3 linked regions of the Cricetulus griseus genome follow. The protein of the gene in region 1 purifies or fractionates together with the protein of each later gene. This does not show direct contact. Links are inferred from orthologs where the notes say so. Each region holds a gene or a part of one and is shown in the gene's direction. Other genes may lie near its edges. The genes, in order: Ppp1cb, neurabin-2 and Tox4.

The links.
Region 2: the proteins of Ppp1cb (region 1) and neurabin-2 purify together in Homo sapiens (affinity purification with mass spectrometry; 4 studies listed by BioGRID and IntAct, with this or other methods). This does not show direct contact. The link is inferred for Cricetulus griseus from reciprocal best matches to the Homo sapiens genes PPP1CB and PPP1R9B.
Region 3: the proteins of Ppp1cb (region 1) and Tox4 purify together in Homo sapiens (affinity purification with mass spectrometry; 5 studies listed by BioGRID and IntAct, with this or other methods). This does not show direct contact. The link is inferred for Cricetulus griseus from reciprocal best matches to the Homo sapiens genes PPP1CB and TOX4.

The regions. Positions count from the first base shown.
Region 1 is NC_048600.1:12,008,198-12,011,944, reverse strand, and holds the start of Ppp1cb (serine/threonine-protein phosphatase PP1-beta catalytic subunit), read left to right. Parts: upstream 1-1,283; 5' UTR 1,284-1,426; intron 1,427-1,531; exon of another isoform or gene 1,532-1,581; 5' UTR 1,582-1,666; coding exon 1,667-1,718; intron 1,719-3,747. UniProt on the Homo sapiens protein: Protein phosphatase that associates with over 200 regulatory proteins to form highly specific holoenzymes which dephosphorylate hundreds of biological targets.
Region 2 is NC_048600.1:108,184,741-108,188,387, forward strand, and holds part of neurabin-2, read left to right. Parts: intron 1-1,273; coding exon 1,274-1,503; intron 1,504-1,754; coding exon 1,755-1,851; intron 1,852-2,028; coding exon 2,029-2,082; 3' UTR 2,083-3,647. UniProt on the Homo sapiens protein: Seems to act as a scaffold protein in multiple signaling pathways. Modulates excitatory synaptic transmission and dendritic spine morphology. Binds to actin filaments (F-actin) and shows cross-linking activity. Binds along the sides of the F-actin.
Region 3 is NW_023276807.1:207,391,357-207,395,003, forward strand, and holds part of Tox4 (TOX high mobility group box family member 4), read left to right. Parts: intron 1-371; coding exon 372-452; intron 453-1,018; coding exon 1,019-1,762; intron 1,763-2,148; coding exon 2,149-2,312; intron 2,313-2,889; coding exon 2,890-2,950; 3' UTR 2,951-3,647. UniProt on the Homo sapiens protein: Transcription factor that modulates cell fate reprogramming from the somatic state to the pluripotent and neuronal fate. In liver, controls the expression of hormone-regulated gluconeogenic genes such as G6PC1 and PCK1.

The DNA.
Region 1 (3,747 bases):
TTACCCACAAGTAGAGGTAATAATGGTACCTGCCGCCTAGGGCTTGCTGTAAGAATGAAATGAGATGATGTTGCATGACATCTAGATTAGCGCCAGGACATACAATCTCAGTGTAAGCTATTAGTAAGTGAGCAAGGAAAGTACAGGCAGCCTTGCGCTGCCAGCATCATGAAGTCTGAGTTGGGGGTGGGGTGAGGGTGGGGTGAGGAAGAAGCACCGGTTTGGGAATAGGTAAAAGTTTTGACTTGACTTCCTCAAATCCTTACCTAAATCTTTTCCTTGGCTACTCTTCCCTACTGTCCTTTGGTGGCAATTTTAGGTGTTGGAAGGAAAGGCAAGCAACGAATCTTTCCATTTCCCCGAGTTTCTATTTCTCCCTGTATTGTATAAACAAGATACTTGGTGGGTGATGCAGACATGAAGATAAATGAGTTGTGGTTGGTTGGTTTCTTGAGACAGGAACTACTGTAGTATAAGCTGCCCCGTCCTGTTACATAGTTGATGATGACCTTGAGTTTCGGAATCTCCCAAGTGTAGGGATTACAGGCATCTCATGCCTACAAATGTGATTTTATCCTCTAGGAACCAAGTACAGCAGAAAAAAAAAAAGTTCAACTATCACAAGATAAGAAGATTAAGGCATATAATAGAGCAATATACAAAAAGCACTTATGGAAAAGTGCTATCTAGAGTGTTTGGAGATAGATACAAGATACGATAAAAGGGCTACAGAGGCAGAAACCAGAGCGTGTATTATCTTATTACTGCTGAATGGGGCCCACTTTGATGCTTGTTTCACCCAGGGCCACCTGGAGAATCAGCCACACTGGTAAAACGATAAAGAACACTTTATTTGCTATATCAGTATTTTTTAGCAGAGTCGTCTCGTTCTGCTTCCAACAAACCTGGGTTTCCAAGATGGGCAACCGCAGCGCACACACGGTTCCAGATTAGCGGAAACATGAGGAATTGTTTGCAAGGGCAGTGAATGAAGCCAAGAAAAGAAAAGCAAGGCGGGAGGGACGCAATCGCTAACTCTGCAGAGAAGAGGAAGGTCATTCGTGCCTACGCGGGCTCCGCGTTCGCTCTGCGCAGCAAGGCTGGCTCCTCCCTGCGCCTGAGCAGTCGTGACGGCTCGGCCAGCGGACCTGGGGCGGGAGGGAGCCGCACCTGCGCGTTGGCTGCGGCGGAGGCGAGGGCGGGGACGGGGCCGCGGGAGGGGGACGTGGCGCGCGTGCGCACGGCTCTGGCGGCTCGGCGGGGCGGCGGGCCAGGGCGGAGGGAAGGGAGTGACGCTGAGGGCGGGGCTGCCCGCGGCGCTGGCGAGCATTGCGGAGCTGGGCGGTGCCGAGCAGGAGGAGCCGCCGGAGGAGGAGGCGGAGGCGGAGGCGGAGGCGGTGGCGGCTGCTGGGGTCTGATGCGCTCGGTTCGTGGGGCCCGGCTTGTTTATTTAATTATTTCTAGTGGGCTTCTCCCGGCGTGTGCGCGCGCTCTCGCTGCTCGGCGGGGAGGGGTGGGGGGAGGGCCCGCGCCCGGGGGGAGTTGGAGCCGGCCGGGGTCGAGACGCCGCGTGACTCGTAGGTGAGAGCGCCGAGCCGCCGCCGCCGCCGCCGCCGCCGCGAAGCCCTTGTTCCCGCTGCGGGGAGGAGAGTCTGGTGCCGACAAGATGGCGGACGGGGAGCTGAACGTGGACAGCCTCATCACCCGCCTGCTGGAGGGTGAGTGCGAGTGCGGCGCCGGGCCGCGGGCCCCTCCCGCTCGAGCCCAGCCCGGGCTGGGGGCCCCAGGAGGCCCGGAGCGGAGCGCGGGGTGACGGGCGAGCCAGCGGAGAGGCGGCGCCGCGGCCCGGGGCTCGTCGGCGGGTACAGCCTTCCCGGAGGCCTCTGTGCTGCCTCCCTCCGCTAGCCCTTCCAAAGAAGCGGCGGCGATGCCTGCCGCTGCGTGTTGTGTGTCCGTGGAATGTGTGTTTCTTCTCCGCTCTTTGTGCGCTGCCCTTGGCTGCCTCCGATTGTCGTTCCGGTAGTGAATTTTACGGAAAAAAAAAAAAAAAGAGAGAGAGAGAGAAGCCCTTCCCAAGTGAGGCTCTCGGGTCGTTTGCATTTTTTTACTGGATGCTCTAGAAGGGCTTAAGGAGAGGACAGGATGCATAGTTCACTATTTATTATCTGGCGTACAAAAATAGTGAAAAATCTTGGATCGGGTTGGAGATGTCCGTTAGAAATACGAAACGTCTGGATACCTGGGGCTGAAGGGATTGATGTGGGGGGCTTAAAATCATAACATGTTTGAGCCGAGTTTAAATTCTGCACAAACTTAGTAAATGCCTGTTGTAACAGCCTCTCTCGGGCTTAGTCTTCGCAGCACTTAAGTTCCGGGTTCTCATGCTTTTTATAGTTAGTTTGGTGTTGGTGGGAACATAAGGAGGAAAGAGAAGACTAGATGGAGAGACCGGTAATTAAATGTATTGATCCGTTGCGGGACACTGTTCAAAGTTAAAGCGGGTCTTGGTCAAAATAATCCTTTTACTCAAAAATTCGCTTCGCTACTAATTGTTTGGGGAATGTGTAAAAAAGAATTGTCTTTTTGGATGATTAAGAGCCCTCTTTATTGGACACCTAATGAATGCGTGTATGCTGCTTTTGTTTACTACAGCGAAGCAGTTTGTACTTATGTTTGGAAATTTACCAAAGAGGATTGTATGGAGAGGGGTGACTTTTTTTCAACTGAAGTACACCGTATCTATCCCTTGCAAAGATCTCTGTATATTTGCTCCAGATATTAAAGCCTTCCTGAAGGCTGAGAAGGAAGTTTTTTTTTTTTTTTTTTTTTTTTGTACCGGGAATTCTTATTTACCTTTTCCTTTAGTATCATGTTATTCCTGGGAGGCCCCCTGGTGCTTGCTGTGTTCACTACTCGGGACTTTGTGGTCTTTAACTGGTGGGAACATCTTTATGTGTCTGTGAGAAACTTGTTTAGAAAAAGAATTGTGCTTATAGGAGAAGGTGAATTTAAGCCTACCGCTGTTTTCATATACTTAAATTAAGTTTTAAATTTGATTGTATCTTAGTTTATTCATATTTAATTTTTTATAAATACATTATAGCAGAGTCATGTATTTTAAACTGATCTAGAACCCTTTCAATTAAATGTACCTTTATATGATTACAGATACTTAAACTTTAGTAGAGAAAAGGGGGAGAGCAGCCTAATACTTGGTTCTAGCTTCAGTCACCCCCACTCCCAGCCCCCTCCTTTTTGGGTAAGAATTTCTTGTCAAGATACATTGTTCTATTCTTCTAATATAGCAAGTGTCTATTGACTCCTCCGTGCCAGGCACCAGGAATCCAAAGATAAGACACAATCTCCACTCAAGGCACTCAGTATAAACAAGTGACTTAAGCATTTTCTAGCCTTCTTGCTCTTCCGTTGTTGAACATACGATTTACTAGTGGTTTGTCTGGTGGTTTTTGTTGTTGTTTTACATTTTTGTTCCTGTATGCAATTGAAGTTTGTTTACCTTGACATCTCCCTGTTACTCTGAAATATTACCCGTCCCTCCCTTCCTCCCCAAATCTAGACCTGTTCAAATAACTGTCAAAAACTTGGATTTTCTAGTGAGTAATTTTAGTCTTAATTTTTTTTTTGTCTATTTTGGTTTTCAGAGGTGTTATGTGCTAATTTAACTCATCAAGTTGCTCCTGTGCAAAGTTGCCTAGCAGAGTAAATGTGGTTATATATATTTTTGTG
Region 2 (3,647 bases), about 96 Mb from region 1:
GGGTGGGAAGGGAGGGCAAGTAAGACTGCATTTTTGAGGGTGTTTTCAGGGCATGAAGCAGAGGGTGGGTCACAGGTGGCTTCCTGCTCAGAAAGCAAAGAGGCATTCAATTGACAGACAGCTAGGGTAACTTGTGGACAGCTAATGCCACTTTAGGCACTGTTAGGAGCAAAAGCAGAGTTGGTCCTTGTCCCTGTGTGTCTTAGAGTCTGCACACCATTGGCTGTTGTTACTCCCTGATAGGCTCTGTAAGAGAAGGGAGTGGGCCCTTACTGAACCCCTAGATCAGGAAGAACTCATGTGTGTGTGTGTATTGGGGGGGGGGCGGCATGCTACCCCACTGAATTCCCAGCAGGCTTTTCTGGGAAAATGATGCATGGCAAATGTAATGACGAAGGGTAGATGGAACAGTACCCGCAAAGGCTCTGTGGCAAGTCTGAGGGTTTGCAGGAAGGCTTGAGTTATCTAAGCTTAGAAAGCATGAGGTGTTTGCAGCAGGTAAGATAGGAGGACAACCTAGAACTGGAAACTGGGTACCAGGGACTGCTGTGAGGCAGTGGGACCTTCTAACAGGCAAGCAAGCCAGGAAAGCTGGTTTTGAATGGGGAGGGTTCCATTTAGGGCATGGTAGGGCTGGAAGTTAGGTGCAAGATGTGGCAGGCACTAGGGATTTGGGGCCCTGTGCATAGCAGTGGTGTGGGAGGTGGGGCCTTGCCTGAGCAAGGGTAAGGAGAGAAGAATGCAGCCTGAGCTGTTGGGAAAACAGCTCACTTGAGAGCTGGAAAGGGGCTAGATATTTAGACTCAATTTTTTTTTTTTTTTTTTTTTCCTCGAGACAGGGTTTCTCTGTACTGCTTTGGAGGCTGTCCTGGAACTAGCTCTGTGGACCAGGCTGGTCTCGAACTCACAGAGATCGCCTGCCTCTGCCTCCCAAGTGTTGGGATTAAAGGCGTGCGCCACCAACGCCCAGCGGGGCTAGATACTTAAAATTCTCCAGGGATAAAGGCTGCTTTGCAAACCAGGGCTGCAGAGGGTGCAAGCGGGTGGTGACTGTTTCGTATCTACCATCTCACTAGCCCTGAGGCATGTCACTCCCATCTTCTGGATAAGGCAGAAGTTGCTAATCAGTGAGTGACTCGTGGGTACCTGCTACCCGCTGGGAGAATTAGTAGTTGGGGGCCAGCAGGCTCCACTGGTGCAAGAATTCCTAAAGACTGTTGGCTGCATGACTCACTCTGGTCCTCTCTAACCCAGGGCTGCCCTTTCCTTGTAGTTGCAGAGTCTGGAGCAGGAAAAAGGGCGCTGGCGGGCCGAGAAGGCCCAGCTGGAGCAGAGTGTAGAGGAGAATAAGGAGAGAATGGAGAAGCTGGAGGGCTACTGGGGTGAGGCCCAGAGCCTGTGCCAGGCTGTGGATGAACACCTGCGGGAGACTCAGGCCCAGTATCAGGCCCTGGAACGCAAGTACAGCAAGGCCAAACGACTCATCAAGGACTACCAGCAAAAGTATGTGTGAGGAGTTTTGCATCTGGGCCCAAGCAGGATGGAGAGGCCTTCAGTGTGGTAGTCCCCACCCCAGCCTTCCTCCAGCTGAGTAGGGAGACAAGGAATACAGAAGTTAGAGGGCACTGTGGTGGGTACCTGAGCTGGAATGACTGAATACCAGACCCCCGGCCCTAGAGACATTGGGAAAACCTGCATCTCACTGGACTAAACATACACCATAAACCCTAACCCTGTTCCTTGCCTGTCTCCAGGGAGATCGAGTTCCTGAAAAAAGAGACTGCCCAGCGTCGGGTACTGGAAGAGTCGGAGCTAGCTAGGAAGGAGGAAATGGACAAGCTTCTGGATAAGGTAGAGCCTGGAGCCCTGGGCAGCCTCCAGAGGGAGCAACATAGAAGCCAGAATCAAAGAACACCGCTCTGTTGATGTTTGGGGAGGATTGTATTGCTGGCCAGGAGCTTAGGGTCAGAGCTGGGGGCACGATCCTTGCTCAGTGGCCAAGCCTGATGTCCCCTCTCTGTTTTCTAGATCTCAGAACTGGAAGGAAACCTGCAGACCCTGAGGAATTCCAATTCTACTTAACAGGATCGCTCCTTGACTGGACAATAATAATCCCCTCCCATTATCTTCACCCCTGTCCTCAATCCCCGCCCCGCTCCTACCAGCCTGGGGACAGGTGCCCCGACTTCCCCCCTCCTCCACCCCACCTCCCCCAGCTTCAGGGACCAGAGGGCCCATATTACAGGCCGCTTTAGGGTGGCCCCCGGGGCAGACAATGGTAGCTGGAAGAGTGGCCTCCTTGTTCTATGGGGCTGAGGTACAAGAGAAACTGAAAGCGGACCTGGGTGGTGGATGGACACAAGGACCTGCAGACCAAACTGCCAGACTTTACAACCTCCAGCCTGTGTCTCTGGACCGGAGTGGAGCTGGGGCTCTCCCAGCATCTCACCACGTGGAGGCTGCTCCCTGCCCACAGGGTCCTTGTGGCCCCTGGGCCTCTTGACTTGAGATTCTTTCCTCCTCCCTATCATTGTTCTGTCTGTTGCATTCTGGCCTCCTGCTTGGAGGGGTTGCCTCAACATCTCCCACCCCTGCTTCCCATCCCAGGAGGGATAGAGCCCACCCTTGAGCCTCAGGCTGGGCTTGGTCCTGCACTGATTTCTCATGTATCCTTGGGGCAGGCGGGGCTGGGGGTGGGGAGTGAGCCGGAATAGGGAAAAGGATGAGTCCAGAACATCTGGAATCCAGCCCCCCCCCCCCTTTCCTAGGAAGGGCAATGGCCCTCAACTTCTCCTTGTGCCTCCCCTCTCCCAGGTGCCAAATAGCCATAGCCTCCTCCTGGAACTGTCCTGAGGCCACTCTGGGGTTCAGGTTTCCTTGGTCTAGCCTAGGCTTGCCAGGAGGGAGGAAGGTCAGCTTAGATGGTGTGCCTGCAGAGCTCTCCCTGGGGAGCTAGGCCCTGCCCAGGGCCACACCTGGAAGCCTTGTATTACCATCAAACAGATTCAGCCTCCCCCCACCCCCCACTGTTTTCCAATGTTTTCACTGGAGGGAAAAATTTTACTAAGCTTTTTGGAGACCAGGGCTGCTTGATGTCAGCCTGCTTTCTAAGTGAAATTGACTCAGTTTCCCCACTTTAACCCCAAATTGGGGCTTGGACCAAGGGAGGTGAGACCCCCTCAGGTACCCTCCCCTTTAAAAATCCATCTCATTTTGCCACCTCCACAATCCCTTTCCCAAGCCTAGGTTTCTGTTCGGTTTTTTTGTTTTGTTTTTTTAAACAACCCTGTTCTATCCTTTTTGGCTTCTCCTAGACCCCTGTAAATAGACCATACCATCAATCAGTATTTCTTGCCCCTCTCTTCCGCCCCCAGCGTTTCCCACTCCCCAGAAAGAGCTGGCTGTCACAGTGCCCGGCTCCTGCACTTCACCTAGGCAGATGGAGGGGGCGGAGCCGGGTGGGTGGGTCTTCGATGTACTTCCGGTTCTGACCGGCAGTGCTCTTGCCCCGCCCTTGGAGGACCCCGTCTCTGTATATAATATATATATGTATGTATTGTTCCTGGTTTTGTACGGACCATACCCTCTGTCAGGTCGTCCCCATAAAAGCAGCCCCCAGAGCCTTGCTGCCTGGTTTCTTGATGCGC
Region 3 (3,647 bases), on another chromosome or scaffold:
GAAATAGCTGAGCCTTCAGCTTTTGGTGGGAGAAGGGCACACAAGAGGAAAGGACTCTGACAACTTAGTACATTCCTAGGGGAAAGTTTCTGAGTTGGGCAGTATTGGGCTATGTAGACTACTCATCTTAAAATTTGGAGGTGGTTTTATTTTTGATATAGCAATGAACATGCATTTCTGTTCACTTTAGAAGTATAGGTATTCTAGCAAGACAGTAGAGTGAATTTGCCATAAAGTTTGTCGTTTCTTGCTCAAGTGTTTTCACTAAAAGGAGTGGTCTGTGGTGTGACTGAGTTCCTGATGGACAATAATAGACTGTCAGTTTCTCCTAGGAATATGGTCATTTGAAACAGTGTCTTTCTTTCTCATAGGTGTATAAGCGGAAAACTGAAGCTGCCAAGAAAGAGTATCTCAAGGCACTAGCTGCTTATAAAGACAACCAGGAATGTCAGGTAAGGTGACAATAAATGGATGTATTAAACCAATTCATTTTTAAAAAATTGCTATAGGTAAATCTCTGTCTCTATCTCTCTTTTTCGTGTACACACACACACACACAGACACACAGACACACACACACACACACACACACACACACACACACACACACACAGAGAAAGGCACACGTCAAGAGCACTGGCTGTACTTAAAAAGTACCTGAGTTTCCAGCACTCACATGGTTCCTTAGGACCATCTTAACTCCAGTTCCTGAAGATCCAATGTCCTCTTCTGTTGTGCACATATGTGCAGGTACACACCCATACACATAAAATAAAAATTAAAAAAAAAAAACTGTGAAACCTATTATTATATAGTGTTAAAATTGATTTAGAGCTTCCCCAGTATTTTGTGTCATAAGCCTTGCTAAATAGTCTTTGAGTTTATCCATTATTTCCAGTGTTTACCTAAGAAAGCCTTTATTTTTCTATTACTTATATTTTCTTGAAGTGTAATGAGAGTGAATGTGTGCTACAGTAGAGAGTAAATTACTTGTTGCCTTTCTGTCTTGGTCTTTTAGGCTACTGTGGAAACAGTGGAATTAGATCCCGTCCCGCAGTCACAGACTCCTTCACCACCTCCTGTGACTACTGCTGACCCAGCATCTCCAGCACCAGCCTCAACAGAGTCACCTGCTTTGTCCCCTTGCATTGTAGTTAATTCCACGCTTTCATCTTATGTGGCAAACCAGGCATCCTCGGGGGCTGGAGGTCAGCCCAATATTACCAAATTGATTATTACCAAACAGATGTTGCCCTCTTCTATTACCATGTCTCAAGGAGGAATGGTTACTGTTATCCCAGCTACAGTGGTTACCTCCCGTGGGCTCCAATTAGGCCAAACAAGTACAGCTACTATTCAGCCCAGCCAACAGGCCCAGATTGTCACTCGGTCAGTGTTGCAGGCAGCAGCAGCAGCTGCTGCGTCTATGCAACTGCCTCCACCCCGACTACAGCCACCTCCATTGCAACAGATGCCTCAGCCCCCAACTCAACAGCAAGTCACTATTCTGCAGCAACCTCCTCCACTTCAGGCCATGCAACAGCCTCCACCTCAGAAAGTTAGAATAAATTTACAACAGCAACCACCACCTCTGCAGAGCAAGGTTGTGCCTCCACCCACTCTGAAAATGCAGACTGCCCTGATCCCTCCAGCTGTGGAAAGCAGCCCTGAGCAGCCTCTAAATTGCAGCCCTGAGGCTCACACAGCAGAAGCAACCTCTCCTGAGACAATCTGTGAAATGATCACGGATGTAGTTCCTGAGGTAAGCCTGTATTATTTCCTTGGATGGGGCTGGTGGGAATCCAGTTCTGCCAGTTGTTTTTTTGTTTGAGATCGAGTCTTAGTAGGCCAGGATACATAAACTCACTATGCAGCCAAAGAGAACCCTGAGTCTGATTCTTCTTCCTCTGTATGCCAGGTTTAATTTATAACAAGTTGTTTTAAAATAAAATTCCTAGATAGAATGTACATGTCATCCTGCTTAGCAGAATTCTAAAGCTTGGTTATAAAATGAGAAAATCAAGAACTTGCCTTTTTCTGAAACTCCTTATGTGAGGGGGTATGGTACCTGTTTCTCTACTGGTATGTAAAATGTTTTGACTAGGTAGGTAGTACTCTAACCCATCCTTGTTTGTTCCCTGTTCTAAGGTGGAGTCTCCTTCTCAGATGGATGTTGAGTTGGTGAGTGGATCCCCTGTGACACTCTCACCTCAGCCTCGATGTGTGAGGTCTGGTTGTGAGAACCCTCCTGTTATCAGTAAGGATTGGGACAACGAATACTGCAGCAATGAGTGTGTGGTAAAACACTGCAGGTGAGCGAAACAGTTCTTATAATTAAAGTAGTAGTTAAGCTATCTGTTGGGAAGCACCTTGAGTATGTAATCAGTATTTCTTTAGGTAGAAGAACAGCTTGATACATACATAAGTAGATGGATATCTGGTTAGAGATACTAGAAAAAAGCATTGTTCAATCTCTTAGGTATGGTATGTAGCCCAATTGAAGATAGCTTGCCTGGCATGAGTAAGGACCTGATTCAGTTATCAGTGCCAAAGAAATTGGTGAAGGATAGGTTAAGGGGAAAATAGCCCAGTAAATGCTAATTGTGAGAAGAGTAGTTTTACTACTTACCTACAGTAGTAATTCCAGGGGATTATCCTATATCCACGAAAAAGGTGAGTGTGTCCTGTCTCTAGACTTCTGTGAGATGGATCACTACCTTCTGACTTTTAGGCTCTTTGTTCCTAAGTTTACTAAGATAATGTATTTTTGGAGATGGAGACAATTATTTGGGTATTTTTGTAGTTGTTGTTGTTGTTGAAAAGATAAAAGAGATAGTTAAGGAATGTATCTAGGCTGTAATAAGTTTGTGTTATCTTTCTTTCTCTTAGGGATGTATTCTTGGCCTGGGTGGCCTCTAGAAATCCAAACTCTGTGGTGTTTGTGAAGTAGCCTTTCTGTTTCTCCAAGCCTGGAAGATTCATCTGCCAGACACAAGTCCAAGAGCCTGTATTTGAAACACAAGCTGGGCTTCTTCTGGTAGTGCCTGACCTTTACACCCATAGTCCTTCATGTCCCCATCTTTTCTTTCTTCAGCAGAGGCCAGACTATAGCAGGGCCAGTGAATTTACTGTAATTTGGAATTGTTTTTCACTCTCGACTACAAGCAAAATTACCAGGTTATAGCACAGGAAAGGGTAAAGGGAATATGGAAGCAAACCATAGTGGGTTATTAGAAGAAATGTGTCGGTAAAATTATCAGAGGACTTGCTTCAGATGTTATTGGAAAAGTTCTTAGCTCTGTCCCTAGGAGGAAACAGCACTGGGATAAGAGGCTTAGGGTTACAGCTCAGTGGTAAAGTGCATTGGGTTTAAATCCCAAATTAAAGAGGAATGAAAATACTGACTTAAAATACCCCCTTTAAAAAGGGAACTTACTATTATTAATCTACACAGTACTTTAAAAACAAAGGTTTGTTGGACTGGGGTTATGGCCTAGCACTAACAAAACTGAGTTCAGCCCCAGGCAGAAAGACCAAGGAGTTCAAGGTCAGTCTTGGCCACTAGTGAGTTTGAGGTCAGTCTAGGCTACATGAGGCAAACGTGGAAGAAAGGCTTTGCAGACGTGGTGGCCCATGCCTTTAATCCC